Oreochromis niloticus: one gene and its partners. The protein of the gene in region 1 interacts with the protein of each later gene in a pairwise test. Links are inferred from orthologs where the notes say so. Each region holds a gene or a part of one and is shown in the gene's direction. Other genes may lie near its edges. The genes, in order: glrx3, trim36, map3k3 and moxd1l.

Region 1 (6,789 bases):
TGCTACAGTTATGAGCCGAGTTACGCGTGTAGCAAGTTTTGTGAGGTGCTTTTTTGATATTTAATGGATCGGATTACATTTTTTATTTCTCGCCGATATCCAATCCAGTAATTTAGGTCAGTATCAGACCGATACCGATACGTAATATCGGATCGGTCCATCTCTAGTATATACAGGTGTTAGAGAGACATTTGCCTCCATCCAGATGACATTTTGTTCAGGGAAAGCCTGTTTCAGCAAGATGATGCTACACTGCATGCTGCATGTATTACAACAACAAGGTTTATTGGAGGAAGTTCCAGGTGCTGAACTGGTCTGTCTGCAGTTCAGACCTTTCAGCAAATAAAACCATTTGACGCATTATGAAAAAAAAAATATGACATGAGCCAGCATGGTTGCAGCAGCTGGTCTCCTCAGTTCCCAGATGTTTATGGACTCTTGTTAAAAGAAGAGGGAATCCTCCACAGCGGTAACAGAGTCCTAGATTTTAAGGCCATGTTTTCTTAGCTTTTTCTGAGACATGTTATTGCTATCAAATTTAAAATGAGTAAACATTTTCTCAGTTTAACATTTTCAACATGTTTTAAATGTTCTAATGTGAATAAAATACGGATTCAGGAATGAAATTGCAAATTATTTCATTCTGCTTTTATTTAATTTTTACATAGTTACCAAAAATTTTTGGAATTAGTGCTGTACTTTTATATTTCTGACTAATTTTCAATCAACAATTAATCGAGTATCCATGTTTTTGGGGTGCAGGAGCAGGGCGGTGTACTGCACTGGGAGAACATGCAAACTCTCACCCCAGTGCTGGTTGTGACTCTGGCATTCCTAGCATTCTCTCCCATGCTGGACACCATTTGCTGGACTGACATCTATATGAAAAGATTCAGGTACAGAATGACCAAGATGAAAACATTATTAACAGAAACCAACAGAGGGAATATTGCATACAGACGTTAAATTCAAAGCAGAGAATGTGCTTCCACTTCTCTGCTACATGGCGTAATAATTAGTAGTAATCAATAATGGACTAATAACATCGGTTTTCTGAGTTGCTTTTCATCACCCTTTGGTTATATCTGAACCTTTGCATGTGACATTGGACCATAAATATAACTTGAGAAGATAAAGCAGACCAACCTGTATTTGCTGGGGATCCATGATGTTGACAGGGAGGTTGAATGTGCCAAGCATTACGTAGCTGTTAGCGTTGCGATCATGTGGAGGCACTTGTGATGTTCCCTGGGAGGAAGAGGATGGCCCACTCTCGGCTGAAGAGCCTCCTGACCCTGAGCTGGGCTGTGAGGGTGGAGGGGGCGCTCGCTCCACGAGGTGGATCACTTTTCCACCCACATCTGGTAGAAACAGTCATATGCAGTTACACATCTCCAATCATACTTCAAGAAAATATTTTTTAAAAAAAGCATTTCCAACACACAGACTCTACTTGAATGCACTACTAAATCTTTCAGTTAATTACACATAGCTGTTAAATTCTTTTTCAGCAATGGCCCACATCATCAACACAAATCGTTTTAAAAAGCAGCAGAAACTCTTAAACACCATAGTAAATTTCAATTTATCTGTAACCAAGTGTAACCAAAATGTTAAGAATTCATTCTCCGTGTAATACCAAATACCCAAAAACGTATTTCCTGCTTTCCAGGAGGAAGTACAAAGACCAACAAGTAACAATCTAGTTCTGCATTTCATTCTTTATTTACTTACTGTAGTCTGCCAGAGTCCTTTCGTCCTGCAGCACTCTGCCCTGGTAGATCAGCCTCTGTTTATCCACCGGTATACCCACTGATGGGGCAATGTGCTCCTTGAACTCTTTCACCGTCAGCTACAACAAAGATTGAACAGACATGAGTAACACCACAGGAAAGATGAACTAAGAATAAGAATTTCCTCCTGAGTTTGCACCATGCATGTACTTACCTGAGCGCCAACAGTGTAGGTTCTGCTCTGGGAGTCTAATGTTTTCACCGTCACCTCTATGTCAGCAGTTTGTTCTTCCATTGTGTTCCTGTAACAGAAAGATGTATTTTCCATTTATAGCTCAGCTGAAACTGGATTCTTAGGGTAAATATGATGACTGTTATGTGAGAGTTTAAACACTTTGCTAATTTGAAATCCTCTCATATTTCTTTCTTAACATAAACATCTATTTTAAACATCTCTGTGAGATGTGAAATGGAACATTTGGGACTAATTAGGACAATTTACAGTATAAAACAAAGACTCTCACTTAAATTATCACAAACATATCTTTTGTCATTTGATACTTGCTGACTCAAAGGGTCCGTAAAAACCTGATGTGCCGGCCAGTAATTACCAACTGATACTGCTCCTACAGCTATGGCCAATGATAATGTTTATTCTCAATTAATGTGTTAATAATTACTCACACGGTCTATAAAATGTAAAAAGAATATATGAAAATAGCTTCAAAATATTGTGGTTGTTGTAACTCATAGGTTAAAAAAAAAATATTCAGAAATGTAGAACATATAGGAAACAAAACACTGTGTGGACCTACAGCAAAATTAAAAAAAACAACAAAACCACCATAAAATGTTAACTACAATACTTTTATTTTCAAAAATATGTGCATACTCTTGTAATAATAATTAACAATATTTAACTATTATTTATTTACAGCAATTTTTCTCTACTAATGTTTTCTCAGTTATCTTCCTCTTTATTGGTGGACCACTCATGATGTTGTGGCACTAATGTGGCAAAATACTATTTCCTCACTTATCATTTTAAATGTTAAAGTTCATGATAGTACATTTATTAAAAGACTGAACAAGTTGACAAAAGGGCTGCCACAGCCATCTTTCTCTTTAAAATGAACACAATTAGATTTGCAAACTTGCATCTAAACAAACTACAAAACTTTTGGAACAGTGTTTTTTGGACGGACAAGACAATTGTGGAGATAATTGGCCATAATACAAAGTGCCAGTGGTTTAAACCAAACACAGCATATCAGCATAAACGTCTCATACCAACTGTCAAGCAAGTGGTGGAGGGGTGATGTTTTGGGCTTGTTTTGGAGTCTAGGATGTGGGCACCTGCAGTCAGTGAGTGGATCATAAATTTCTCTGTATGTTAAAGTATTCTAAAGACAAATATAAAGCGCCTTGAGGCGACTGTTGTTGTGATTTGGCGCTATATAAATAAAATTGAATTGAAATATGAGGGCATCTTTTCAATAACTAACCCTTGTGTACAACAGAACAGCTAAAAAAACCCCCGAAAGAGTCAAGGTGTTGTAATGAGCAAATCAAAACAAAATCTAAAGTTCATACTGCAATCTGATGTAATGCTGTGACAGGAGAGCTTTGTATAAATGAATGCCCGCCAACCTCAATGAACTGAAGCATAAACCATGTATAAAGAAGAGTGAGACTGATAATATCATACAGATAAAGATTACTTCAAGCTGATGCTGGTTAAGGTGTTTCAATAAGCTACTGAATCATGTGTGTACTTAGTTTTTCAAAGGACACATTTACACAGAACACACATGCTTTGTGATCAAGATCATGCTAATAGTAGACAATGTAACACGTGGGAGAAGATGATGTGAGAGACTGATAATGTCTTACAGAAAACCATTACTTCAATTTAATGATGCTAAGGGTGATTCTACAGGCTACTGAATTATTGGGAGCCCATAGTTTTGTTTTTGTTTTGTTTTTTTAGACACTACTTCTGCATTTTGAGTTAATTGTTGTTAAACTTTAACACAGTGTCATATGTCATATAAGTATGTTATAATTTTCAGGCGTAGTAACAAACTAGTTATTATCACCGGATTTGAAAAGCCTTAAAAATAAATAGAAGATGCATTATGCTTATACCATGGCAAGGATAAGGTGTGTATTGTTTTCCCTTTCATTTCATTTGAAATGTTTATCTAAAGAATATTTTTTCGCCACCATCTTACTTGTCTTGACAGCTACGCAGCATATGGATTTATAAAGAAAATAGTGCCGTCCGCAGGTGCAGAAAACTTCACAGAGTTGAATGTTCCTCAAAACCAGCAACAAAAACACGCAGCAGTTTTTTTCGTGCAAACCACCGATGTAAAACCGAAGGACACAGCTGAGTCTGATCAGCGAAACACTTGCTCGTGTTGTTTTGGAGTTTGCGTGCTCGGTAACAGCGTAATGTTGAGTAGTTAGCCGAGGAACCGAGGCTGCTTCATGCTGGGCCAGACACCGACGTGCACTATCTTTATTTAAACTCTTTTTATTAATTTAACTCTTAGAACAGTGGTATTTGACTCTATTTCTATTTAGCAGAATTTACGTGTAACAGTAGCTTACTTAACCACCAAAGGCTTGCTAGCATGAATTAGCTTTGCTTAACTTGGAAACCTGGCAGACGTCACGAACGAAGCTAACTTTGAGCTAACTAGCTAATGCTAAAGCTACTAAAACGGAACGTTAAAATTAGCTTAGCAATCCGAAACAGAGTGAAATTCGTTTTAATTAAGTCTGTGTCGTTAAACAGTTACCTTAGAAGTTACTATCCTCTCGACTTATCCAGTGTATGCAGCTGTTTTCTTATCATCAGCTAGCATGCAAACGACTTCCCTGTAGCTGCTCTGGTACTTGCCAGAAACTGCCAGGCTACGCGGATATGACGTCTAGGCGGCACCGGAACCACTGCGCGTGCAGAGGGTGAAAGGAAAGAAAAATGGCGAATCTCGTGGAGGCGACTACTCAACAGCAGTTTGAAGATTTCTTAGCCAAAGCTGGAAAATGCCTTACCGTGGTGCATTTCCAAGCGGCGTGGGCTCCTCAGTGTGGCCAAATGAACGAGGTGATGGCCGAACTGGCCAAAGAACATGCGCACACTACGTTCGTGAAGCTAGAGGCGGAAGCGGTCCCGGAGGTGTCGGAGAAGTATGAAATTTCCTCCGTCCCCACTTTCCTTTTCTTCAAGAGCGGAGAGAAAGTGGACCGCCTGGACGGGGCTCACGCTCCGGAACTGACTAAGAAGGTGCAGCGCCTCGCGGTGAGCGAGGGACCCGGTGGAGCCGCTGAGGGCAGCGGCGCAGATCTGAACCAGCGGCTGAAGAAGCTAATCAACGCCGCCCCCTGCATGCTCTTCATGAAGGGGTCACCCCAGGAGCCCCGCTGCGGATTCAGCCGACAGATAGTTGCGCTGCTGAAAGAGCACAACATCCAGTTCAGCAGCTTCGATATCCTGTCCGATGAGGAGGTCCGACAGGGGCTGAAGACGTACTCCAACTGGCCCACCTACCCCCAGCTGTATGTGAACGGGGAGCTGGTGGGAGGACTGGACATAGTGAAGGAACTGGCTGAGTCCGGAGAGCTGGAGAACACCTGCCCGAAGGCTGTCACCTTAGAGCACCGACTGAAGACCATCATCAATCAGAGTCCAGTCATGCTGTTCATGAAGGGCAACAAAGAGGCTGCCAGATGTGGCTTCAGCAGGCAGATACTGGAGCTCTTGAACGGTACCGGGGTGGATTATGACACCTTTGATATCCTGCAGGATGAAGAAGTGCGGCAGGGGCTCAAGACTTACTCTAACTGGCCAACCTACCCTCAGCTCTATGTGAAAGGAGAGCTTATCGGTGGTTTGGACATTGTCAAGGAGTTGAAGGAGAGTGGAGAGCTGGTATCAGTCCTGAAAGGGGAGTCGTAGATGGATCTGCATTGGCTATCTGAGGGAGGGAACAAGAAGCTGCTGCACATACCCAGATTAGCTCCAGTAACCCTGCAGAAGGGTCAAAATATTCTCTAGTAACTAATTGTATTGTAGCAGGGGGATAGATTCACTCTAATTACAGTCAGAAATGAAACTGCTGTCAACAGTAAGAATTTACATCTGTTTTTCTTTCTGGTAATGATTGTTACTGGAAAGCTGGGCTTCTAGAAATTCTTGAAAATACATCTGAAGATTTGTTTAACATGACATTTAAGTAAATACTTCTTGCTGTCTGATTCTTGGAAAAATGATGACGTTAGTTCACAATATCTGCATTTCTTGGGATTATAGCTTTCCTTCCAGTGTTGACAGCCTCACACTTCAGTATGTTATGTAGACTTTTATTTTCCTACCCAGGCCAGCTGCTCACTGTTCACACCGTCCTGTCTGCACATTCTCCACCTTTAAAGTCCGAAAAGCTGTTTTTAGCTCTGTGCAAGGATCACTCTGGTAACAAGCTATGTGTGTTTGTCGGTAAGATTACAATTAAAAATTAAAACAACTTAAAGTGTTTTTTCCCTTTATTGTTTAATCTGTAAGCATTTACTCTATTCACCCTGTAAGCATTAGGAACCTGAGGAGACAACTGTTGTAGATTTTTTATTTATTCAGTTGAGGAGACAATACAATAAGAGACGAGCCACCCTGTAACAATGAAGCAGCTACGTTGAAGCGTAAGATTTAACAGCGAGGTAATAGAACTAATAAAGTCTGGCCAAATATGTGTGATTCTACTGAGTGGTAGAAGAAAATTACCACTGTTGCAGAAATCCTTTGTTTACAACACAGTTTCAGGGATGGATATAGGTTTCTACATGGTATGGTTTTTCACTGATGCGAAACAACACCATCATGCGTGCTGGCTTTAAACTGTCCTCTGACACTAATCCCTTATGGCCCTTCTTTTTATCCAGGAGGATTTTGATTGGTTCAAGGACATTTTTCCACTTCTTAGTACAGCTTAACTGTGCAACATTTCTAGTATAAGCCTCAGATGCAAAAGCTTAGAGACCAAAATTCAGAGTT
Region 2 (7,707 bases), on another chromosome or scaffold:
AATGGCTCTGCCACGTGACTGCAGATGAAGGCTGTGTCTCAGCAGTTGTTATTAGAGTCACCTGTTCTCTCCCGCGGTCGCATCGCAGTCCACTCTGTCCCAAAACAGGTGGACGACAGCTTTGTGCTTTTAGCTGCAGTGAAAACTGTTTTCTTTCCGAGATCCAGCGACATGTGGTCAAACCATAAACCCCTGCTTTGCCATCAATAAATATACATAATGTAATAATGAATAATGTAAGAATAAAGGTAATGAAATTTATTTTTTCTATGCTTTGTAGAGATATTGAGTGTAGATACACATGTAAATGTCTATAAATATGTGACTTCTATCGTGCAAGAGAAAACCAGGTTTACGGCGACGTGAGTGAGACTGTTAGAGGAACTGGATATGCAAATGTTGGCATGTGATGTACTGTTTGTCTATAGCTTTGAATGAAATGATGTTGGCTCTGGCTTGGCAGTACAAACTGTATGTATGGTAAATAAAACCTGTACTAACTGTCTGAATTGTTTTCTGTGGGTGGGTTCATGCAGCTTTTCACTTTAGATAAGTTGCACTTTAGCCTCAAAAGCTGGAGAATTTCTTTGGTACAGAAGTTAAAAATAAAGGTTAATACAACCTATAACGATATAGTTATAATAGTGTATAGCTCAGTAAAATAAAATTCAAAATGGCAACATATATTTTACTAAAGTAAAATCTGATTTGAAATCCAAATAAGGAAGTAAAGTATATGTTTAAATATAGATCTGTCCACCCTTTTTTTTTGCTATGTGTGTGGGTCCTGGGTGCAGGGTTTGAATAAACCATTAACATGAGAAAACGTGATTTTCAGATAGACAGATGTGTCACATGACCTATGAAAGACTTCCTGTATCTGTCCTTGTGGCTGAATCAGCCTGTCAGAGAAAGTTTCTCTGCTGCTGTCCAGTGCGTGCTGCGGAGGTGGTTAGGTTTGTTACTTCCACCAGAGTTTTCAGCCAATCACAAAGCCAGCCTTCCTGCTCCGTACACTGTGCTCGCTTCAGCAGACGGATAATGTCCATTTTGCTGTGGTTTGCAGCTTTATTAGTAAACAGAGCCTGCTCATCTTCCAGTTAAGCCTGTTGCCGTCATGGTTGCGTGGGTACACCTCCATCAAATCAACATTTGGTCCCAGGACAAACAAGGTCGTGTAGCTGTGCTCGTCGTCACCATCTCTTTGGTCTCATTCACAAGCAGATGATTCCTCGCAGAATGCGCCACAAAATCATCCACTAGTGCTCTATATTCCTCCTCTTTCTTATCACTAATACATCCAGCCACTGCAGAATCGTCAGTGTTTCTATAGGTGCCATGATCAGAGCTGTACTTAGAATCTGAGGTGCACAAAGTGAACAGGAATGGAGACAGCCCGTCAGCATGTCAGGCGATGATAAGCCAGTCTGACAAACTGTGGCCTGTCTGTCAGGAACTCTGTAATCTGGGAGATGGTGGACAAATCTACTGGCCCCTCTTGAAGTTTTTCCTTCAGTATCAACAGCTTCAGATTCAGAAAAAAACAGTTTAGTTTTGTCCCGTGAGGCCAGTGTGCATCATCTGCACAAATTATTGATTTTGCTTGTTAAAAACAGACTCATTCCTGGAGGTGAAAGGCCGTGGGGGTTACCAAAATTGTTCGAAAATGCAAATGATTATGTTCCAGATGTGCACCAAAAGGAAAAAAAAACATACTGTATATCCCATGTGTTTGTTTTTAATAGGAAAGAAGGCTTTTCCTCTTGTAACCAAAAATACTGATAGAAATTTCATATAGCAAGTAGCCTGTAGCTTTTGAAATGCCTTTATCTGCACAAAGGTGTGATAAGGAAATAAATCCTATCCCTGCCTCCCTGCCACTGAGACCCTCTTCCTATATGGGAAGTTTCTTCAAAAAGAAATAATTTCATAAGGAAACCTAGGCCTACAAATGCTTTGGCTTTATCACTGAAAGGACAAGATTCCTAACATGAATGAGATTAAAATGGGAGCAGCTCAAACATCCGCACTGCAACTGTCTTTCCCATCAAGCTCTGCTTGATTCTGAGTGGAAGCACCAGAGCTGTCAGCCTGTTTGGCCTCATAAAGATCCCAAAAAACTTGAACATTTTGAGCAGTCTAAAGCCTGGGTATACGGAGACATTATTTGAAACTTTGGCGATATTTATAATAAGCACCCACAACTGCAACAGCAATTACAAACAATCCACAATAACATCCATTGGCTGCTGCTTAAAATCCCTTCTCTCCTCCTCTTTAATCATTAGCTGCAATAAAATCTCACAGAAAGAAATAAAGCAAGAAATCCTTAAAACACAAAATGATCAGAAATGTGATCTTCAACTAGTCCTTTCAGAGTCAGTCCCTGTCCCCTCTTTGCACTAAAACATCAGTATGCACTCTCACCTGTCCACCTTAAAGGTCTTGGATCAGCCTCAGAATGAAAGCAGGACCAAGTTTGGATAAAAGTTTTGATCTTTGCTACGGTGGGGAGAAACGTGCTTCTCCTGGGTCTGACGGGTCACGGCATAGCACTTTTATTCTCACTATTGTGAATCTTGTCATCCCAGCTGTCATGCCAAAGATGGATTTCCCCTTGCTTAATGCCTCTTGGATGGAAGTATCTCATGCTAAATACTTCCTTATGGCAAAAAGAGACAAAGCAAGTGTTCGCTCCTTTGGGTGTTACATGATTCATGCTGCCCACAACAGCTGAGTTTCTTTATGAAAGGCTTTATTTCCTTTCACTGTGTCCTGCATATGGCTCGGTGACTCAACTGTTGTTGCTTTATTTTTACATCGAAAGATGACAGCTGGTCGGTATTTTCCCCCAATTTGCCTCAGTTGCCTTTCATGTTTCTACAGTGTGGATGGCTTGTGTAGTGAGTAAAGCTGGGAGTTGATTTTTTCCCCTCTGCTTTATTAGGTCAGTGACTGAAACATCATTAAAAGCTGAGGGGGAGGTGGGGCAGGGGTCCCTCTGGATACAGATCACATGTGCAAACATACATGGAGTCCCACCTGGGAGCTGCACAGCACAGTCACAGACTTCACTGTTGGCACTGATAGGGTAACACGAGCCAGGCTAATGGAGCCCAGTGGCACTGATATCCAATCTTTGGACATTATAAAATGTTAAACAGCAGTGGATCTTACATTTTACCCCCCACCCCCCAGAAAGCAATAGAAATACAAACATGAGGTTAGGAAAGTATTTTTACCCAAGTGATTACAGCCTAACCCAGACTGGTGATGTCTGGAGATATTCCCTTGGCAGCAAGTTGCAGCTGTGGCTTGGGTGGAGTTCATCAACACCTCTCATACTCCCACATGTATATCTGCCAGCAAAGACGACCTAATATGAGTCGGTAAACATCGCTTAATGCAAACTCAGTCGTCAAACGAGTTGTTTCTACTAAAACAAGTGAAGAAATGCAGCATGTTTACCACTCTGCCTTTCATGTGATATTAATGACTCATCTGGAACGATCACAGGCCCTTAGGTGAACTAATGTGTGCTTATAAAACATGTATTCTCTGTCAGTCCTACTTAGGGAAACACGTTAATCAGTGCTTTATATTGATTTTGCAATAGGTGTAGAGCACTGTGGCGTTTTATGGGGTAGTTATGTGTCATCTCGGGTTTATGTACATGACAACTAAAGCACTGCATCGCAGCAGCACGTGATGGATGGCCATAAACTCTGTTCCAGACATTAATGCCTCCTACACGATGAGTTCTTACTAACAGTGTGGTCATCCCTCAGGTTTTCCTTGCATGAGGGCCACATTTAGTTTTGGTGTGAGATTTTTCCACTGAAATCTGGTGAAATCTGGTGAAATCACATTGCCCTCACACAGAAGTTCAGCTTTGATAATCCCTCAATTTGTCCTTCTGTCCTCATCATCGGCCAAATGCAGCCTCTCACTGCTGTTTGTTCAGTCCACAAGATGATCCTAGTGACCTCTAAATCATTCAACGATGGGGTGCTCGTATTTTTATCGTAGTATTCTATTAGAAGTTCGTTTATGTACCTGCATCTTTAAATGGTTTTCAACAAAAAAAAGAGGTTTTTCGACTGATGCCAGCTGACAGTGATTGTCTCCGTGGTTGGGAGCCACTGGAAACATACTTAATAATTTTGTTATGCTTCGGTTGTTCGGTCAGGGCAGTCTGCCTGCTTGTCCCCCCTCCACATGCTCAATGGGGTGGAATATGTCTGCATGAAGCCATGCAGCCATCTGCCGACGCGGAACAAGTGGCATTGCCAGAAAAATTAAAAACACGAACTTAATCCGGCCTCACAATCCGGCTTTTTCTCCAAACCTCTCCACGTCTGGATGTGTCACATTCAAGGGCGGTTTTCAGCTTCCCAAACAACAAAATAAACCAAATATGGCATAAAAAGGCTACGTGAGTCTAAATGACCACAAGTCAGCCCATAAAGCGTCATGTGCGCACGTGAGTGCGCCGCCAGCCATGCGTAAAAGCCCAACTTGAATAAGCGGCACTAAATGATTTGAGACCCCCCTCCTCCCTACCCGACCCTTAATCTTCAGGCTGACATGATTATGATTTTTGTAGTGATTGACAGATTAAGGGAAGTCATTCACTCGGGGGGTGATAGATAGTAGATCAGGCGAATACAAAGAGCTGTGTGAGGCGAGACATCGCCGCCGAGGGATGATGTGGGGATAAGGAGGGAGATGGCACAGGAGGCTACAAAGGAGCGAGGGCGGGGTTTTTCCTTCCAAGATGAGGCTAACTAAAATTAAACTGCTGCCGGCGCATGTGGGCTACTGTAGTCTCCACGGACAAACCTAAGCCCGTGTGGAGAGAGAAAGAGGGAGGGAGGAGAGAGGATGGATGATGATGGGGATGTGGTCTGAGGAGCGGCTCTTCCCCTCTTGATGTTGTCTCACCTCCCCTGCGAAGCTCTGAAGCTTTTATCCTGTTTCTTTAACAAGCCGCAGCAGTTGTTTGCGTCATTTTTTTCCTGCATTTTTAAATATCGAGGTGCTCTCTTCTTCTATATACTGTGCATTCATCGTCATTACCACCATCATCACCATCATCTGTAGCCATGTCGGACTCGGAGGATATGACTGAGTTCGCCAGCATCGTGGAGCGGATCGAGCGGGGCGAGGTGAGGCTCATCCGCTCGGATGATTTATGGTCCTTCTGACAGCGGCGATCTGCCTGTCAACATGCTCCGACAGCAGCAGCAGCGCCGGGCCGGCCTGCAGGGCTGTCAGAGGATGGAGAGGCATGCTCATAGACTTCTATTCTTATCTGTTCTTTGTTGGTATCACACAATATCCTATTATATTGCGTTATATACACTACGGGTGCATGACTGAGTTATTAATGGGCCATATGCAACAGTAAGACCTACTGTATTCCTGTAGCACAAACTATTTTATTTTATTTTATTCTGTTCTTGTAAAATCTGTCACTTTACATTATTGCATTTCAAAAGTAGAGATTCATTCCCTCAATTTAACCTGATCTATCTATCTATCTATCTATCTATCTATCTATCTATCTATCTAAAAAAACATGATGAGTTTAATTAGAGGTTTTTCTGGGTGTGTTGCTGGTTACTGCTGCAGGGAGAACACCGACTTCTGTCAAAATGTGGGCCACTTGGCAGCAGCTGTGGTTTTGGTGAGACTGGGTTACTGAGGTGTGTTTGTGACTGAAAGGGGAGGGCTGGGTGGGTGTCTTTACCCATTTCATGCACTCCAGACTGACAGAATGTGTTGAAATGTATCTCTCCTGCTAGCACAATCTCTGGCATTTGTTCATGCGTGCACAGAGCTGTGCATGTGTTTCATGTGTGTGACAGAAACAGGAGAAGACCGTACAGGCGACTGACTCACACATGCCAGCCGCAGTTGCAGATCTCTGTTATAATTTAAGCTGGTGTCAGACCTGTCGTGGACAGTGGGTACTTTTATACCAGAGAATAAATAAAATTAGGAACCCAGTAAATCTATTAATGAAACAGTAACTGGAAATTCTTTGTTGAGTGTCTTTCTGTGAACAGCAGTACAAAAAATGCTGTAAGTGAGGGTAATGTGTCAGAACATTTCTAAGGCCTCTGTGAAACTGTTAAATTTAGTTTTAATAGATCACCATCCAATCTAAGAGGGCTGTTGGAGGGTGAATCGAATCCTAGAGGACCAAGTTAAACTCAGGACAGGCTCCCAGTCAGTCACAGGGTTGACATACAGCATACGACATAATGACATCATACAGGACATTTAATGTTGTCAAGTCTTTGGACTTTGTGAGGAACAGAGGCACAGGGAGAACATGAAAGTCCACAGTGGCAAAAACGTCATCATGTGACACAGCAGCAAGACGGTGCTGTCTGGCAGTGTCGCTGCAAGGCCCGAGCGTCTGCCAGCAACCAAACAAATGACTAAACAGAGTCCTAAAGTTGCCCTCTGTGCCTCCAGTGACTGTGCATGCAGAAGCCGGTTAATCAATTCAAATAACATGGCCACTTCACTTCTTGAAGGAATTACAGCTTCTCCTCAAAGCACCCAAGTTATTTTATGGTCACCTTTTGTTCTCTAACTGAAACATTATTGGGGTGACTTGCCAGGCAACCCTAGTGTTCAATAAAATAATTGCAGACCTCCGCAATAATCACTGCAGCAAGCAATTATAGACTCATAAATCCCCTAATGTAATGGGAAGGACCCTGACATTGTAACGAGCACGGCAGTCTCAGTTTACTGGCCCCCTTTGCTAATGGGTGTCAGTGTAGTAACCCAGTGGGAGGATGGACATACTGAAAAAGGTAGGCTGTTTTGTATTTTAAGTACTTTTGTAAAGCTTTTGAGAGCTTTCCCTTTAACTTCAAATTCAAAGTGCTGATAGGCACATGAAGACACTTTAATTACCGGTCTGTTCTCAGCAAGCCTTCACAGATTAAACACAACACTGCTAACACTGCTACTGTATCTGCAAACACAGCATACTTTTCCCCAATTCAATTCGATTGCAAACATTCAACATTGTCTCCCAAAAATCTCAACCTGGGCTGTCCCTCTGATATACAGTACAGTATTGTGCAAAAGTCTTGAGCCCCCCCCCCTTTGGACATTGACTGCTTTTTCACTCATTTTCAGTCCAGTCCTTGTACCTGATCATTTGTTTAGAAGAATGCTTAGTTTGTTAAGCTACCTAACACTGACCTATGAATAATTCAAACATAAAAAGGTAACTTAACTCAAGGGATGAATTAGTGCTGAATTAGTGTTGAATTAGTGCTGTGTCTATACATAACAGACATAACAGAACCACTTTTAAATTGTATCTTAAGGCACTTTGTTGTGCAGCCTTTCACATATATGTTCCCATTTCATTAGCTGAATCTATAGAAAGTGCCAAAAATAACATAATTTGATAGAAATAAAGCAGTATTTTTGCACCAATAATTCCCGAGGTGCTATTAGCCAAAAACTTGGCATATCTCAGCATGCTGTGCAGTGTGCACTTTAAAAAATTGAAGAAACTGGACAATTGGAGGACAGAAAAGGAAATGGTATGCATTAAAACATATGTACAGCAGATTAACAGCACCTGTGTGTCATATCCCTAAGAAACAAACAAAACATATCCAGCAAATATCGGACACGGGACCTGAGAGAGGCTTAGGATGTTCACAGAAC
Region 3 (7,661 bases), on another chromosome or scaffold:
ATTTCATGCTTGTCAGCTTGTTGTTGTCTTGTGATGAAGTTTTAAAAGCTGTATTATAGCGACATAAACATCCAGTCACTCTGTCCTGAACCCCTGAGTCCTTTTTCAGTTAATGCCTTCTGGTTCTCCTGTCTTATTTGCTAAATGCAACTGGACCTATTTCTTAATATAAATGTTACAATGTTACAATAGATGGATGGATAGTTTGTCACATATATGGGCACCTTGATGTGTGGCTGCATGCAAAAGCCAGTGCAGAGCACCCCCTGCTGGGAAAAGTGTGACAATAGCATCTCACATGAGAGGATAAAACTATAACTTGCCCATGATTTGAGTATAGCCTTTTATTTTCAAGTTTTTGAGTAGGATCAGCAGCTAGCCGAGCCAACAGCTTCTTTTGATCTTATTTAGTTTTAACATGTAAGAACAATTAATTCAGTGTAGATTTCCATGGTTTTATTTCATTCTGTACAAAGGATAACTCCAAAGCCATTAAATCATCACATTTTAGAAAATACCACTGACACTTGAATGGCACAAAGTACTTTCTGTGACTGAAGGTTTACTGTTAATTTGAGCTTGTTGTGCAGAATAGGAAGCAAAACAGATGGACTTTTTTTTTTAAAGAGAAGCCTTAGAAGACAAAGAGCTGACCTTATTGCTTTTTCAAAACACCTTTGAATGCACAGATCTTTACAACAAAATCTTGTGATCATGCCTTTTTAAAAACAGATCTGGTTATTGTAGAGTCCAACTCTTTAACAAAGGATTACTTCACTCAACCAGCAGCCATTTTTCCCCACCTAACCATCTTTATTCACATGTACAAAAGTTCTAATTCTACTATGTGTGAACATGTATGTTTTCTTTATGTCATTTTAAAACGGCCCTCTGGATCCCAGAGAATGCTTTAAAAATCAAGAGAATTGTATCTAAAAATGCTGTGTTTGTCATTCTCTGTTAGCAGTTCGCCAAGGTACAACTGCAAAATCTGTGAATTGCAATGTCCAAGTCTAATAGAGCAGACAAGGTACACTTTACACTGGTGCCACAAGGCTCAGGTGAATGATTGCAGTGTGACGTTTTATTGTTAAATCTGTGAATCATTTCATTTCTGTGCTACACTTGATGTGGAATTCCTTTTTTATTGCCGTTGTCATCAAGACATTTTAAATGTATGCATCTTTGAAAGTGTATTCTATATTACAGACATGACCTGTGGATTGAGGTGGCCTTACAGCAAAAGGATGCTTGGACTGTATGCAGTCTTTCTCCTCTCTTCCTCCTCCTCTCTCTTGCTTAGTTGTAGTATGGTACATTTTAAAATGTGAGCGCCCTCTTTCTACGCCAATATACACAATCATTTGTGCATATTTTTGTTTTTATTTTTTTTTACATGCTTTTGGAAAAAAATAAATAAATAAAATGCTGGTGTTGATTTAACACACTGAGTTTTACATTGTCTTTATTTGCATTTTATTTGTGGTGAAATACTTCAATCTAATAAAGTTTAGCTGTAATGGAAGTAATCCAAAAGGTAATTGGTTACATTTAAGTACAACTTTGAAGTACTTGATACACTACACTTATATTCCAATACAGTGCAGTGAAAAGTACTGCCCATCTTCCTCTGCAACATTTAGATTTATATTACAGCTTTTTTGTAATATTTTGTAATATATTTTGTTTTTGAATGTGGCTTAGTTAGTTACTGTTCTTACTGGAGCAACTTTGACCACAAAATATCTGGAATTAACAAAGTATTCTGATTATGAATATAGAACTGTCACGGCTGCAAAGCCGGTGTGTTAAAGGAACGGACCCAAAATCAGAGACGGGAGAAAACGAACTAAGTTTAAGACAAAGTGAGCCGTTTATTTGGCTGAAAAACATGAATACAAAATCCAAAGCAAAACAAACAGTAGCGAAAACAAAACTAAAACCTAAACTGAAAAGACTGGACTATAACAGCTATAACCAAAGAGAACATGAACATGATTATGAGCAGGAGCATGAGAGAAGGTATAGGACCCCTCAAAAAAAAAAAACCGTGAACTTGAAACATGAACATGCCCTGAACAGAATCATGGAAAACACTTAAAACCTGATGTGGAGGAAGGAAAACAGACAACCTGACAAAGACTGAACGAAAACACACAGACTAAATACACACAAGAGGTGATCAGGGGAAGTGGAAACACATGGGAAAACAGCTGACTGGAATGAACATAATGACAAAACACAATGAACATGGAAACACCCGACTCTTCAAAATAAAACAGGAAACATTGAGAGATGTAGACATGACAGCACAAGCTTGGCAATATGGAACACACAACAGACATAAGACATATGACAGGCTAGGGAGACATGGAACGCCAGAAGAGACACATAAGAATGGATAAAGGAGATGAGAGCACGGGCATAACTAAAGGTAAAACACTAAGGACAAGACAACTACATAGAGGACAGAAAAAGACTCATAACTCAGGAAATGTAGGTGAAACAAAAACAAGATTAAAACTCAACTAAATCCTAACTAATAATAACAACAACACAAGAACTTAATTTTCAATATAATATAAGAAATCAAAAATACAAAATAGACTCAAAATGCTGAGTCACAGATTTTGAATATATAAATGTTCAAATATATGAAGCAAGATATATGGAATTATGTAGCAAAGAAAAAAATCATAAATAACTCTAAATATGTTTTATATTATAGATTCCTGAAAGTAGCCACTCCTTTGCTTTGTTGACAGCACAGCAAACTCTTGGCCTCTCAATGAGCTTCATGATGTAGTCACCTGAAATGGTTTTCACTTCACAGGTGGGCCTTGTCAGGGTATATTTGTGGAATTTCTTGCCTTCTTAATGGGGTTGGGATCGTCAGTTGTGTTGTGCAGAAGTCAGGTTAATACACAGCTGACAGCCCTATCTGACAACTGTTAGAATTCATATTATGGCGAGAACCAATCAGCTAAGTAAAGAGAAGAGATAGTCCATCATTACTTTAAGAACTGAAGGTCAATCACTCTGGAAAATTGGTAAAACTTTGAATGTGTCCCCAAGTGCAGCGGCAAAAACCATCAAGCATTACAATGAAACTGATTCACATGAGGACCAGCCCAGGAAAGGAAGACTAAGAGTCATCTCTGCTGCTGAGAATAAATTCATCCAAGTCACCAGCCTCAGAAATCCCAAGTTAACAGCTCCTCAGGTTACAGACCAGATAAATGCCACACAGAGTTCCAGCAGCAGACAGATCTCTCCATCAACTGTTTAGAGGAGACTGTGCGAATCAGGGCTTTATGGTCAAATAGCTGCTAAGAAACCACTATTAAGGAAAAGCAACAAACAAAGAGATTTGTTCGGGCCAAGAAAGACAAGGAATGGACATTAAACCAGTGGAAATCTGTGCTTTGGTCTGATGAGTCTAAATCTGAGATCTTTGGTTCCACCCGCAGTGTCTTTGTGCAACACAGAAAAGGTGAACGGATGGTCTCTACATGCATGGTCCCCACTGTGAAGCACAGAGGAGGCGATATAGTGGTGTGGGGGGACTTTGCTGGCAACACTGTTGGGGATCTATTCAAAATTGAAGACACACTGAACCAGCATGGCTACCACAGCATCCTGCAGCGACATGCCATCCCATCCGGTTTGCATTTAGTTGGACCATCATTTATTTTTCAACAGGAAAATGACCCCAAACACAGCTCCAGGTCGGTAAGGGCTATTTGACCAAGAAAGAGAGTGATGGATTGCTGCCTGGCCCCTACAGTCACTTGACCTAAACCCAAATTATATGATTTAAGACGAGATGGACCGCAGAGTGAAGTCAAAAGGGCAAAAAACTGCTCATCATCTCTGGAAACTCCTTCAAGACTGTTGGAAAACCGTTTCAGGTGACTATCTCATGAAGCTCACCGAGAGAATGTTAAAAGTGTCCAAAGCAGTAATCAAAGCAAAGGGTGGCTATTTTCAAGAATCTATAGTATAAAACACGTTTTGAGTTATTTCACACTTTTTTGTTTACTGCATAATTCCATATGTGCTCATTTGTAGTTTTGATGCCTTCAGGGAGAATCTACAGTGTAAATAGTCATGAAAATAAAGAAAAACAATTAAATGAAAAGGTGTGTCCAAACCTTTGACTGGTGTGTGTGTGTGTGTGTGTGTGTGTGTGTGTGTGTGTGCGCGCGCACACGTGTTTCTGATTCTTTTAGATAAATTGCATATATTGTATAATTGTTGCATTACACTGCGCAATAAATGTTTCAAATACATGCCGCGCAACAATAATCCTATGATATAATGAAGTACAACCCGTTGACCTTTTTACATAAGTATTCCACTCCCTCCAGGTCCAGTACTGCTGAAACCAAAATAAAATGAAAATACTTGACTTCAAATACTTCACGTTAGATTATTCTAACGTGTCATTTAAATTCAATTAGGGAATGCACGTTATTGTTCACTCTTAAAGGAAAACATTGGATGACTTAGACGGATGAGGACTGTTAAGTTAAAAGCTGTGAATTTCGGATTTTCCAACTCTTTTTCACGGCAGCAAACGCTTCACGACGTCACAGCTGGTCCGCCCCTCCAATAATATTGTGCGCGCTCCAGAAAGAAGACTTCCACCGAGTAACAGCGCGTCCCCGCGGCTGCACGGCTCTAATTTAGATAGTTTAGGAGTCAGAAATCCCCCCGGGAATAAATCATCGTTATTACCAGCGTTTGGATGGCGGACAGTGAAGCATCTGGGAAACATGGATACAACCTTTGCGAGCCGTTTTCATGACTTGTTGGAAGCATAAAAGCTGGTTCCGGTGGCGATATTTTTTCTGTCAGGAAGTTTGACGTATTCAGCTGAAGATTATTTCTTGCTTTGTTTTGGTTCGGAAAAGTTGTGGACGACCGCTGGCTCCTCTCAACAAACGACATCTTTGTTACTGTCGCTGAAAACAGACCGAGCTCGTCTAATTTATGTTTTTTTTTTTTGTTTATTTGTTTGTTTTTAAATATCAGTTTGCTGTTTATATGAATACTCCAGGATCTACAATTTTAGAGTCTGCAGCCCTGCGAAGTCTAAACATCGATGGACTTTATCCTACTTGGCTTCGCATGACATAACGCATCTGGTTAAAGTATATAATAAACTCAAAGGTAGTACTTTTTTCTGCCAATGTCCCTTTAGTCTGTGTTATTTTTAAGTCTGAACTCAGCTCGGTGCTCTCTCAATTAAATTCATCTGCACATTTTTATAGGCCAGATCGGCCTTCGTGTGTTCTTGCCTGATTATGTTTATATCATCATTCACGTTGCAATGCGATGCAGTTATGTGCAATGCAGCAATGAGAATAAAAACATCTTCTGCCTAGAATATTTTGGATTCAAACCTGGAACCACGGTCGAGGGAAATCTGCAAACTTAGCAGGAAGAGAGGCCATCAGAATCACGGAAATCGTACGGTCTTTCCTCTGGCGAGCTGCTACCCACAAATGGATTTCATACAGGCCATACGGTTACTGTTACACTTTGGTTTGGCAGTTTTTGTTCGTATTTAACACTGTAATGGGACACGGCTCTGAATACATTTCTAAATTCATCGATTTTTAGTGTGACTTCTAAAGATGTTTTGGAAATTTAAGTTTTCCAAGGATCCGAGGCTACAACGGCGCAAAAGTTTGCCTCTGGGCCACAGCTGGAGCTGTTTGATGTAGGTTTTCCCATCGGAACATTTTCTCTGTGAGGCTTACAGCTGCCTCATGTGACCGTGCTTGTTTTTACAACCTGGAAAGAATCGGTTTGTGTGTGTGATCTAACTTTCCGTTAAAGAAGACAAGCCCTGGTACCTGGGGGGGTCAGCCCCGCCGATGGCACCTTTACATTCACTCACACTCTTTGGTGTGTTGGTCTGACCGAGGACACTAATGGACGTTAACAACAGCTGGACCTACTGCGTCATTCCTGCCGCTAGACTACGGTGACCAGTCGGCTGTACGCGGGAGAACCTCGGTCCTGACCTGACCTGCTGAGACTACAGGTGAGGGTTGTGAGCTACACCTGAGAGTAGTGACAGGTGTAAATAATGCGCTGTGTTCAGTCGACAGGGAAAAAATGTGTCGGGATTATATATTTGAAATATTTTTTTTTTTTTTAGCTCTGTCTGCCAAAAACAGAAATGTAAGCTTTTCTAATTATTTACGTGGGTCGGTTTTATTGTTGTTGTTATTATTATTATTATTATTATTATTATTATTATTATTGTTATTATTATTATCATTATTATTATCATTATTGAATAGGCTATGTCCTTGAAATTATTTGTTTTGCTGAATTAGTTGAATAAAGTCTAAGAAATTGACGGTATAAAAAGCTGGGGGGAATTGAAAATTAATATAGATTGTAGTTGCTAATATTTTCTAAAAGTTTCCATTAAAAAAGGACTTGTCTGTGACCTCTTGTCTTAATCAGTCAGGGTTGAAAATGCCATCCAGCTTTCCACCTTTTTAATTGAGAAAAAATTTAAATTCATATTCCATAGTGAATATATAACAGCTGTGCTTACTAAATTTAATAGCTTATCTTCCTCGAGCATGTGTGTCATTCCATTCTGTTCCATTTTCTGTCGTGTATCCGGGTTCGGGTTGCGTGGGCAGCCATCTAAGCCTCCCTCTCCCTGGTCACCTACTCCAGTTCATCTGGGGGACTGCTGAGGCATTTCCAAGTCAGCCAAGACATTATCTCTCCAGTGTATGCTTTTTCTACCCTGGAGCCTTCTCCCAGTTTGGACATGCTCAAAAAAACCTTCCTAGGATGGGACCTGGAGGAATTCTAGTTAGATGCCCAAACCGCCTCAACTGGCTTTTATCAATATGGAGGAGTAGTGGCTCTAATGTGAGTCCTTCCCAAATCACTGAGCTCCTCATCTTTTCAATAAGGGAGAGCGTCAGGAAGTTTATTTCCACTGCAATCTCATTATTTGTTTTGGTCACTACCCAGAGGTCATGACTATAGGTGAGGGTAGGAATGTAGATCTGTGCTTTCAAACACAGCCCTCTATTCACCAAAACACCCTGATCACTACAGACACTGAGCCAATCTGTGTGTCTATCACTTGCGAACAAGACCTCGAGTTACTTAAATGCCTCCACTTGGGGCAGCAACTCGTCCCTGGCCTGGAGTCGGCACTCCACCCTTTTCTGGCTGAGGTTCATGTATTCAGACCTGGAGGTGCTGGTTCTCATTCCAGCTACTTCACACTTGCTTGCAAACCAACCCATGTTACGCTGGAGATCACTGCCTGATTAGGACGGAAAAACCACATCATCTGCAAAGAGCGGAGACGTGATCCTGAGACTGCCATAGCTGAAGCCCTCTGCCATGTGGCTATGCCTTAAAAATTCTATCCATAAAAGTCATAAACAGAATCTGCAACAAAGGGCCAGAAGAACTGCCCTAAACTTCCAAGTGATGCTGCAGAAGCATGTCAAACAAGACAGCCACAAGTTCAGAGTCTTAAGGAAGTCGGGGCAAATTTCATCCACTCCAGGGGCTCGACCTCTAAAGAGTTTTTGACTACTTCACTAAATCAGTCACAGTAATGGGCCAGTCACCCCTCCTTGTCCCCAGAGTTTGCTTCCACTACA
Region 4 (7,833 bases), on another chromosome or scaffold:
ATTTTTTATTAGTTTAACATCATTTATTTTATTTTGTTAAGGATTACTTAAAATAAAAAGCAGATGTTATGTTATTATTCTCAGTAGGATTTTTTGCATATCATAACCTATATCTAGAGTAGAGGGGGTATTTAACTTCTTAATTTTACGTACAGTTTATCTTTATACACACTCTGCTTCACGTACCATTTCCGGTACTCCTAAAAGAACACTCATTAGGTCCAAATGCGAACAATACCATGAGCAAAATTATCGTGTTTACAGTGCTGCAGCTACATTTATGGCCCTGTAGTCCTCACCTAAGGTAAACAGTAGTCACATACTATATGGTACGAACAGGGTTTTGAGAAAAGACTGCAGTTCCCAGAATTCCGCGGAGGCAGCTATGACCCACACTGGAAAGGTAGTAAAATGTCACAAGACACTTCGTTAATTAGACACATTTTCCATGTATAGCAAAAGCATTCGTTTCTCGCTGAGCGCATACAGATGTGCGACAAGCGGCCATGACGCTTTTAAAGCAGACTCCCTAAATGCTTTCAGTCTTAATGCGGAGCTCACCGAGTGAAGTCTTCACTGTAAAACTAATGCGAGAAACTACAGTCCTAACTGTCCAAGTCTACAGCCCTCAGTATTGGTGAAAAACAAGCTCCAGGGGGAACCCAAGAAGCCAGCATAGTCGGGCTGGGGGTTTAAAAGAAGCCCAGGAAAGTTGTCAAACCCACCTTTTGTGCCATTATCGAAGCATTGATCAATCATTACAAAAACAGGCCCTGTGGTTTTCAGGATTTCCAACCCTCAGCAGGACATTTCCTCCGCGTTTCTCTTCAACTGGAGGCGAAGAAAACACGATAACTCCCTCCGGTGGAAAGCCGCCGCGACAAAGGAATTAACACATGACTTAAAAACAGTAGGTCGTTTAAAAACTCAAAAAATCCGAGAAAACGAAAGGTGGGAAGGAGACCAGCTGAGTGCGACTACCAAGTTTGAAGCGCGTAAAGAGCTGCTGACAGTACGGAGGAGGGAGTGACCTGCAACACGCACAGAAACCGGAAAGGTAGTCCAGGTCCGATATGGTGGCTCCTCCAGAGAGACTACACGACTGTTTAAAATCGCAAATAATTTATTTTTTTAAATATGAAGAAATAAAACACTTCATAATTAAACAACGATTAAAAAAAAATACAAAATATATATAAAACGTGGTAACTTAAAATTTTTAACTTGTCGGGAAAAAAAAACAAGTAATAACAATAATAATGAAAATAGTAGTAGTAATAATAAAATTTCTACTGTTTGCGGGATTTTTTAAATTTTCCAGTGCGTTTTTTAATTGTGTGTTTACTCACTATGGGGCTGACAGCTCAAAGGGAGTGACCCTGAACCTAAACTTATGTTTACTCTTTTGTTTAAGTCTCCCTCTGCTGGCCTCATTGTGCAAGTGCGTTTTAAACCGAGGTCTGTATTTGCTATCCCAGTGGTCTGGATCGGATACAAAAACCCACCTACTATTTAAATTCCTACACCTAGACTTTTTTTTTTTACTCAAATGCTTCAATTTATTGTATTTTAACAAATTTCCCACGTGTGGGACTAATAAAGGTTATCTTATCTTATCTTAAGTTTTTATTGTTGGTGGGTTTTTTCTTAACGTTTTCAATAACAGCTCAAACGAGCCTCTAGCAACTCCCCACTCACTCTTGAGACACAGGATGTGAGGCATGTGCAGTGAACCCCAGGAAAGCTGCAGGTCCTGATGGAGTACCTGAGAAGGTGCTCAAGGCATGTGCCAAGCAGCTAGCACAGGTCTTCACTGGCATCTTCAACCTGTCTCTGGAACAAGCCGTCATCACATTCTGCTTGAAATCTGCCATAATCACCCCCATACCTAAAAAGTCACCCATAACCAGTCTCAGTGACTGCCGTCCAATTGCACTAACCCCTGCCATCACCAACTCCTTTCCTGAAACTGGTTCTGGGGCACATCAGAACCTGTCTCCCACCCGCTCTGGACTCACACCAATTTGCATATCAGACTAAAAGATCCACCGAAGACACCATAGCCATTGCTCTCCACACAAGCACTGAGTCACCTGGAGCAACATGAGAGCTATGTCAGAATGCTCTTCACTGACTTCAGCTCAGCCTTCAACACAATAATACCGGACATTTTGATCACCAAGTTAGCCAACCTGGGGCTCCTGCCACCCACCTGCTCTTGGATAAAGGACTTTTTGGTCAACAGACCCCAGCGGGGGAAACTGGATCCTCGCCTCTCTTCCCCCCACACTCTCAGCACCGGCTCTCCCCAGGGCTGTGTACTAACCCACTACTCTACTCCCTCTACACATCTGAGTGCAGTCCTGCCCATCTAGAGAACACCATTGTTAAATTTGCTGATCACAGGGGGAAATGAGGCAGCCTACAGAGATGAGATCCTGAAACTGGGAGAATGGTGAGCATTAAAGAACCTGGCACTTAACATCACCAAGACCAAGGAACTCATCCTGGACTTCAGGCGGAACAGAGCTGCCCCTGCCCCCCTGCACATCAATGGTGAGCGAGTGCAGTCCTTCAAATTCCTTGGCATCTACATCTCTGCAGACCTCTCCTGGTCAGTCAACACCACAGCGCTAGTCAAGAAGGCCCAGCAGTGGCTACACTTCCTAAGGGTGCTCAGGAAGGAGCAACTAAACACCCCACTGCTGGTGACCTTCTACATATCCACCATCGAGAGCCTGCTGACCTATGCCGTGTGGCACGCCAGCTCCACGGAGGCAGACAGGAAGAGACTGCAGAGGTTGGTAAACACAGCACAAAAAATCATTGGCTGCCCTCTGCCCTCCTTGTCTGCCATCTATAACTCCCATTGTCTCAGCAGGGCCAGATACATCTTGAAGGATATCACCCACCTCAGCTACCATCTTTTTAACCAACTGCCCTCTGGCAGGCACTTCAGATCCATATGGACCAGAACAAACAGACTTAGGGATAGCTTCTTCCCCAAAGCTATCACCATACTCAACTCAAACTTATAAAAGTAATTTGCACTGAAATATCTGCACTGACCACTGCACCATTAGAGTGCTCATTCTGATGCTCCTTGGACTCTAGCATGAACTTATGTCTGTGCTTAAAATTGTCGGCGCTTAAATTGTCCGTGTCATTATTCTCTGGTTGTCTGTCTCTGTCACCCAGTGCCGTGTATTTATATTATGTGTATACTTATATTATTGTAGTTTTTTATAATGTGCTAAGCACTTGTACACTTTTATGGAGCTGTTTTAAATCTCGTTATACTGTGCATAATGACAATAAAGGCTTTCAGTTCAATTCAATTCAATTTTTGATGCCTGACAGTTACAATTATCTTTTATTTTGTCTCCTGATTTCCTGGGTTATCATTATTGGTAAAGACTTACAGCACTGTGTAAAAGTCTTTTTTTATATTTTTCTCAGAAATTGCAGTGAAACAAGTGCAAGCATACATAGAAATACAGGACAAAAGGCAAAAACAGAGCTTGTACAGTTCTAATGCGCTTGAACCTTTATTCTTTAACACAGCCTGAACTCTCTTAGGTAAGCTTTCTTTTGATTTTTAAGTAGTCTTCAGAATTAGTTCTCCAGACCTCTTGAAGGACATTGAATGCTGTTCTTTCGCCGCCCTTTCTTTCGTTCTCTGTCAAGATAATCTCACACTGCTTCAAAAATGTTGAGCTTCGGGCTCCGGGGAAGTCAGTTTCTGTGATTTTCTATCCAGATATACTTTTACTGCCTTGACAGTGTGTGTTGTCCATCAATCAACCCACTGTCCTAAACAGAAAGTCCAACAAACAATAAATTCTAGCATGCAACAACTTCTATGAATGTTTGTTTGCAATGATCGGTGCTGTCAATTAGTTTATCACTGACAATGATGACGATCACTAAAGAAATCTTCCTCTGTCCTTATGCGCTCAAGTTAAGAAAATATTGCATATGTTGGTAATAAAAAAAAAAAAAACTAGACTGTGCAACTGAACCTGTGAACAGGATGAGTTGCACAGTAAAATGACCAGAGAAGCGTTGTGTGTAAGAGCACTTGAGTCAGTTGTTACATAAGTTGTACTTGAAGTGATAGCTGAAGTGTTTTCCTTAAAATATTAGATATTTGTTCAGCCAGAAGAAGAAGAAGAATCTCTCTGAAATGTTCGCTAAAGAATATGAGACGGTTAAAGATTGCACACTGTAAAAAAATAACACATGAACAAAGAAATAAACCTAAAACTTTTGTATCAGGATCTGAGTGCAGCACTCAGAGAATAACTACACAATTCACATTCCTGCGCCATGAAATTATTTTGGCTTGACTCAAGCCTTTGATATATGAGAATGTGACAGTAGGTGAGAAGAAAGTATTATAACTTTCACTTCTCCTTAGCACCGATTCATATATCAATCACCTGAGTCTGCCAGTTATAAAAAAAACAAAAAAACAAAAAAGTGGAGGTGAAATCTTCAGCCCACCCGTGGACATTTTAGTGCTGTATGAAAAGCACTGTGGCTGGAGACTGCTAGTACATAAAAGATTCAATTACAGATTTAATACTAAGGCTTTAAAGAAGCTGAATTTGAAACTCATTTGTGAGTTTTTACAAGGATGAGAATGTGACAGGGAGCACAGAAAGCCCAGTTTTTATTGTTCAGCAAGGGCAAACAGTAAATGCCTGAGCACTTTTTTTTCCCACTATCACTTGAGCTGATCTCGAAACGCAGGTGTGTCTTTGGATGGTGGGAGGGAGTTTGGCAGCCCCGCTAGTATTCAGCTCAGTTTGAAGATTTTCAGCTTTGCAGAGACATCATGTGCTCTCTGCTTCCCTTTTTCTCCCTGCTACTGATCTGCGCAACAGGGTCATGGGCGATGGATGTCACAATGCCCTTTATGGAGTACCTGGACCAGGAGCAACTGGTGTGCCTGAAGTGGGGCTTTGACAATCCCGTTGATGACATTACATTCCAGCTGGCAGTCAACACCACAGGCTGGGTGGGTTTTGGTTTGAGCCCGAACGGAGACATGAAAGGATCAGACATCGTCATAGGAGGAGTTGGATCCAGTGGAAGCTACTTCTCGGTTAGTTATGAAATAATAACAAATCAGAACCTGTTGTATTTTTACTTATGATAAAAGTTAGATAAACAGCTGAATGCTTTCATCCTGTTTAATTTAATTTTGTGTTTTGGTTTTCTTTTCAGTTTCATATCAGTTGTTTTAGTTTAGATTCTATTGAAAATGATTCATTTTTGTTTAGTTTTTAGATTTGCACAGTTTTAGTTTTTAGTGTCACTATGTCATGTTCGGTATTTGTCAGGGACAGAAATAGAAAAAATAGATACAGCGGTGTGAAAAAGTGTTTGCCACCTTCCTGATTTCTTATTATTACATGGCCCTGTGTGAAAAAGTGATGGCCCACACCTTGTTAAATCACAAATTAACTGTGATTAACCACATTTTTTACAAAGCCACACCCAGGGATGATTACTGCCAGACCTGCTAAATCAAGAAATCACTTAAATAGAACCTGTCTGAAAAGCTGAAGCGGGCTAAGAGATCTCAACAAAACATATCATGATCCAAAGAAAAAGCTGAGAAACAAAGTCACTGACATCTATCAGTCTGGAAAGGGATATAAAGGAATTTCTAAGGCTCTGGGACTCCAGTGAACTATGGTGAGAGCCATTATCCATGAATGGAGAAAACTTGGAACAGTAGTGAAGCTTCCCTGGAGTGGCCAGCCTACTAAAATTATTCCAAAAGTAATTTTAGACTGATTGGCCATGACTCTTCCAGGAGGTCACAGAAGAAACCAAAACAACATCTAAAGAACTGCAGACCTCACTTGCCTCAGTTAAGGTCAGTGTTAAGGTTAGTGACTCCACTAAAAAGGGGGCTGGGCAAAAATGGCCTTCATGGCAGAGTTCCAAGACGAAAACCACTGCTGAGCAAAAGGAACATAAAGACTCGTCTCAGTTTTGCCAGAAAACATCTTGATGACCCCCAAGATCTTTGGGAAAATATTCTGTGGACTCATGAGACAAAATCAAACTTTTTGGAAAGTGTGTTACATCTGGTGTAAAAGTAACACAGCATTTCAGAAAAGGAATGTCATACCAACAGTAAATTGGTGGTAGTAATGTGATGGTCTGGGGTTGTGTTGCTACCTAAGGGCCTGGAAGACTTGCTGTGGTAAATGGAACCATGAACCATGCCGTCTACCAAAACCAAGTGAAGGAGAATTTCCAGTCATCTGCTCGTGACCTCAAGCTGAAGCACACTTGAGTTTTGCAGCAGGACAGTGATCCAAAACACACCAGCAAGTCCACCTCTGAATGGCTTAGGAAAAACAAAATGAAGACTTTAGAATGGTCTAGTCCAGGGGTCGGCAACCCGCGGCTCTTTAGTCCTTATAGTGCGGCTCCGCATGGTTTGGGAAAATAAATTAGAAGTATTTCGCTGAAGTGTATTTTATTTATGTTAGTTCTTTTAAACTTGTAGTTCTAAATTGGAAAATTATTGTGATATTGAAATATAAATATAAAATTATATTCTATTATTTTTTCCTCGCTCAATATAAGCGTCACACTCGCGGAAGCCGGTATTCCCGCCGAAACACCGTGCATTTATCGAGACTTTCAACCCCAGGTAGGCCAATTATGGATCTTCGGATCCACATTATGTCAGCAGCTCCACCGTGAAGTATGTTAAAGACAAACACTGCTCACGCCTCACAGACGACAGATGACAGCTTACAGTCCTGCGTAAACTGACTTCGCAGAGCACCGATTAGCAGACGCTGTGCGCAGAGGTTCAGGATCAGAAGTCCCATTGTAAACACATCACGGCAGACCCGACGATGTTTGCATGAACGCGCTTTTCAGCATCTCTTTATTGACCACTTTTCACACACAGTTGCTGTACGCATACAGCCGGCTGTAGCTTCGCAGCTCACAGCCCGACACACACCACCAACAACAGCAGAGAGCACAGACTTTAAGGCGGCGAGGCGTGATTGCGGGTGCCGCTCAGGTGCGTCCGCCTCCCCTGCAGCGGCGCTGCAGACCACGCCCCCGCCGCACGCATTAACCAGGTAAAATACATATTTAGGCAGAATTTTGCAAATATCTATTTTTCATTTTTCAGCAGCATAGAGCTTTTTTTACCAATTATTTTTTAAAAGTCAGGTCAAGGCTCCAAAAGCCCAAAGGAGATATAAGGGTGGCAGCTCACAACAGTTTTTGTTTGCTACATGGATCATTTTAGTTCAGCTGGGTGTCTTTGCTTTTGTTATATTTCTTTAAGAGTTCAAAATGTGTTGATTACATAAATAAAATGTAATTTTCTCTGTACCACTTCATGGATTTCATAAGCAGCACACCTTAGTTGTTCACACAAAGGTAGAAAACAATATATACAGTGTTATCTTCATTTTAGATGTCAAAAAGTATTTGCGGCTCCCAGTGTTTTCTTTTGTGTGGAAACCGGGTCCAAGTGGCTCTTTGGGTGTAAAAGGTTGCAGACCCCTGGTCTAGTCAAAGTCCTGACCTGAATCCGATTGAGATGCTGTGGCATGACCTTAATAAGGCATTTCATACTTGAAAACCCTCCAGTGTGGCTGAATTACAACAATACTGCAAAGATGAGTGGACCAAAATTCCTCCACAGCGCTGTAGAAGTCTCATTGACATTTATCGCAAACTCTTGATTGCAGTTGTTGCTGCTAAGGGTGGCCCAACCAGTTGTTAGGTTTATAGAGGGTAATCACTTTTTCACACAGGACCATATAGGTTTTGATTTTC

The links.
Region 2: the proteins of glrx3 (region 1) and trim36 interact in binary tests that used the Homo sapiens proteins (3 or more experiments, as listed by UniProt). The two-hybrid records come from large-scale screens. The link is inferred for Oreochromis niloticus from reciprocal best matches to the Homo sapiens genes GLRX3 and TRIM36.
Region 3: the proteins of glrx3 (region 1) and map3k3 interact in a two-hybrid assay, tested with the Homo sapiens proteins (2 studies listed by BioGRID and IntAct). The link is inferred for Oreochromis niloticus from reciprocal best matches to the Homo sapiens genes GLRX3 and MAP3K3.
Region 4: the proteins of glrx3 (region 1) and moxd1l interact in binary tests that used the Homo sapiens proteins (3 or more experiments, as listed by UniProt). The link is inferred for Oreochromis niloticus from reciprocal best matches to the Homo sapiens genes GLRX3 and MOXD1.

What each region holds. Positions count from the first base shown.
Region 1 is NC_031976.2:36,170,300-36,177,088, forward strand, and holds glrx3 (glutaredoxin 3), read left to right. Parts: upstream 1-4,692; 5' UTR 4,693-4,722; coding exon 4,723-5,700; 3' UTR 5,701-6,271; downstream 6,272-6,789. Other genes in the region: large proline-rich protein BAG6, read right to left, coding at 807-878, 1,147-1,361, 1,735-1,852, 1,948-2,028. UniProt on the Homo sapiens protein: Together with BOLA2, acts as a cytosolic iron-sulfur (Fe-S) cluster assembly factor that facilitates [2Fe-2S] cluster insertion into a subset of cytosolic proteins.
Region 2 is NC_031977.2:21,326,989-21,334,695, forward strand, and holds the start of trim36 (E3 ubiquitin-protein ligase TRIM36), read left to right. Parts: upstream 1-4,692; 5' UTR 4,693-5,105; coding exon 5,106-5,168; intron 5,169-7,707. UniProt on the Homo sapiens protein: E3 ubiquitin-protein ligase which mediates ubiquitination and subsequent proteasomal degradation of target proteins. Involved in chromosome segregation and cell cycle regulation. May play a role in the acrosome reaction and fertilization.
Region 3 is NC_031969.2:28,854,327-28,861,987, forward strand, and holds the start of map3k3 (mitogen-activated protein kinase kinase kinase 3), read left to right. Parts: upstream 1-4,638; 5' UTR 4,639-5,175; intron 5,176-5,390; 5' UTR 5,391-6,055; intron 6,056-7,661. UniProt on the Homo sapiens protein: Component of a protein kinase signal transduction cascade. Mediates activation of the NF-kappa-B, AP1 and DDIT3 transcriptional regulators.
Region 4 is NC_031980.2:9,793,796-9,801,628, forward strand, and holds the start of moxd1l (DBH-like monooxygenase protein 2 homolog), read left to right. Parts: upstream 1-4,811; 5' UTR 4,812-4,840; coding exon 4,841-5,110; intron 5,111-7,833. Other genes in the region: snx9b (sorting nexin-9b), read right to left, coding at 726-737.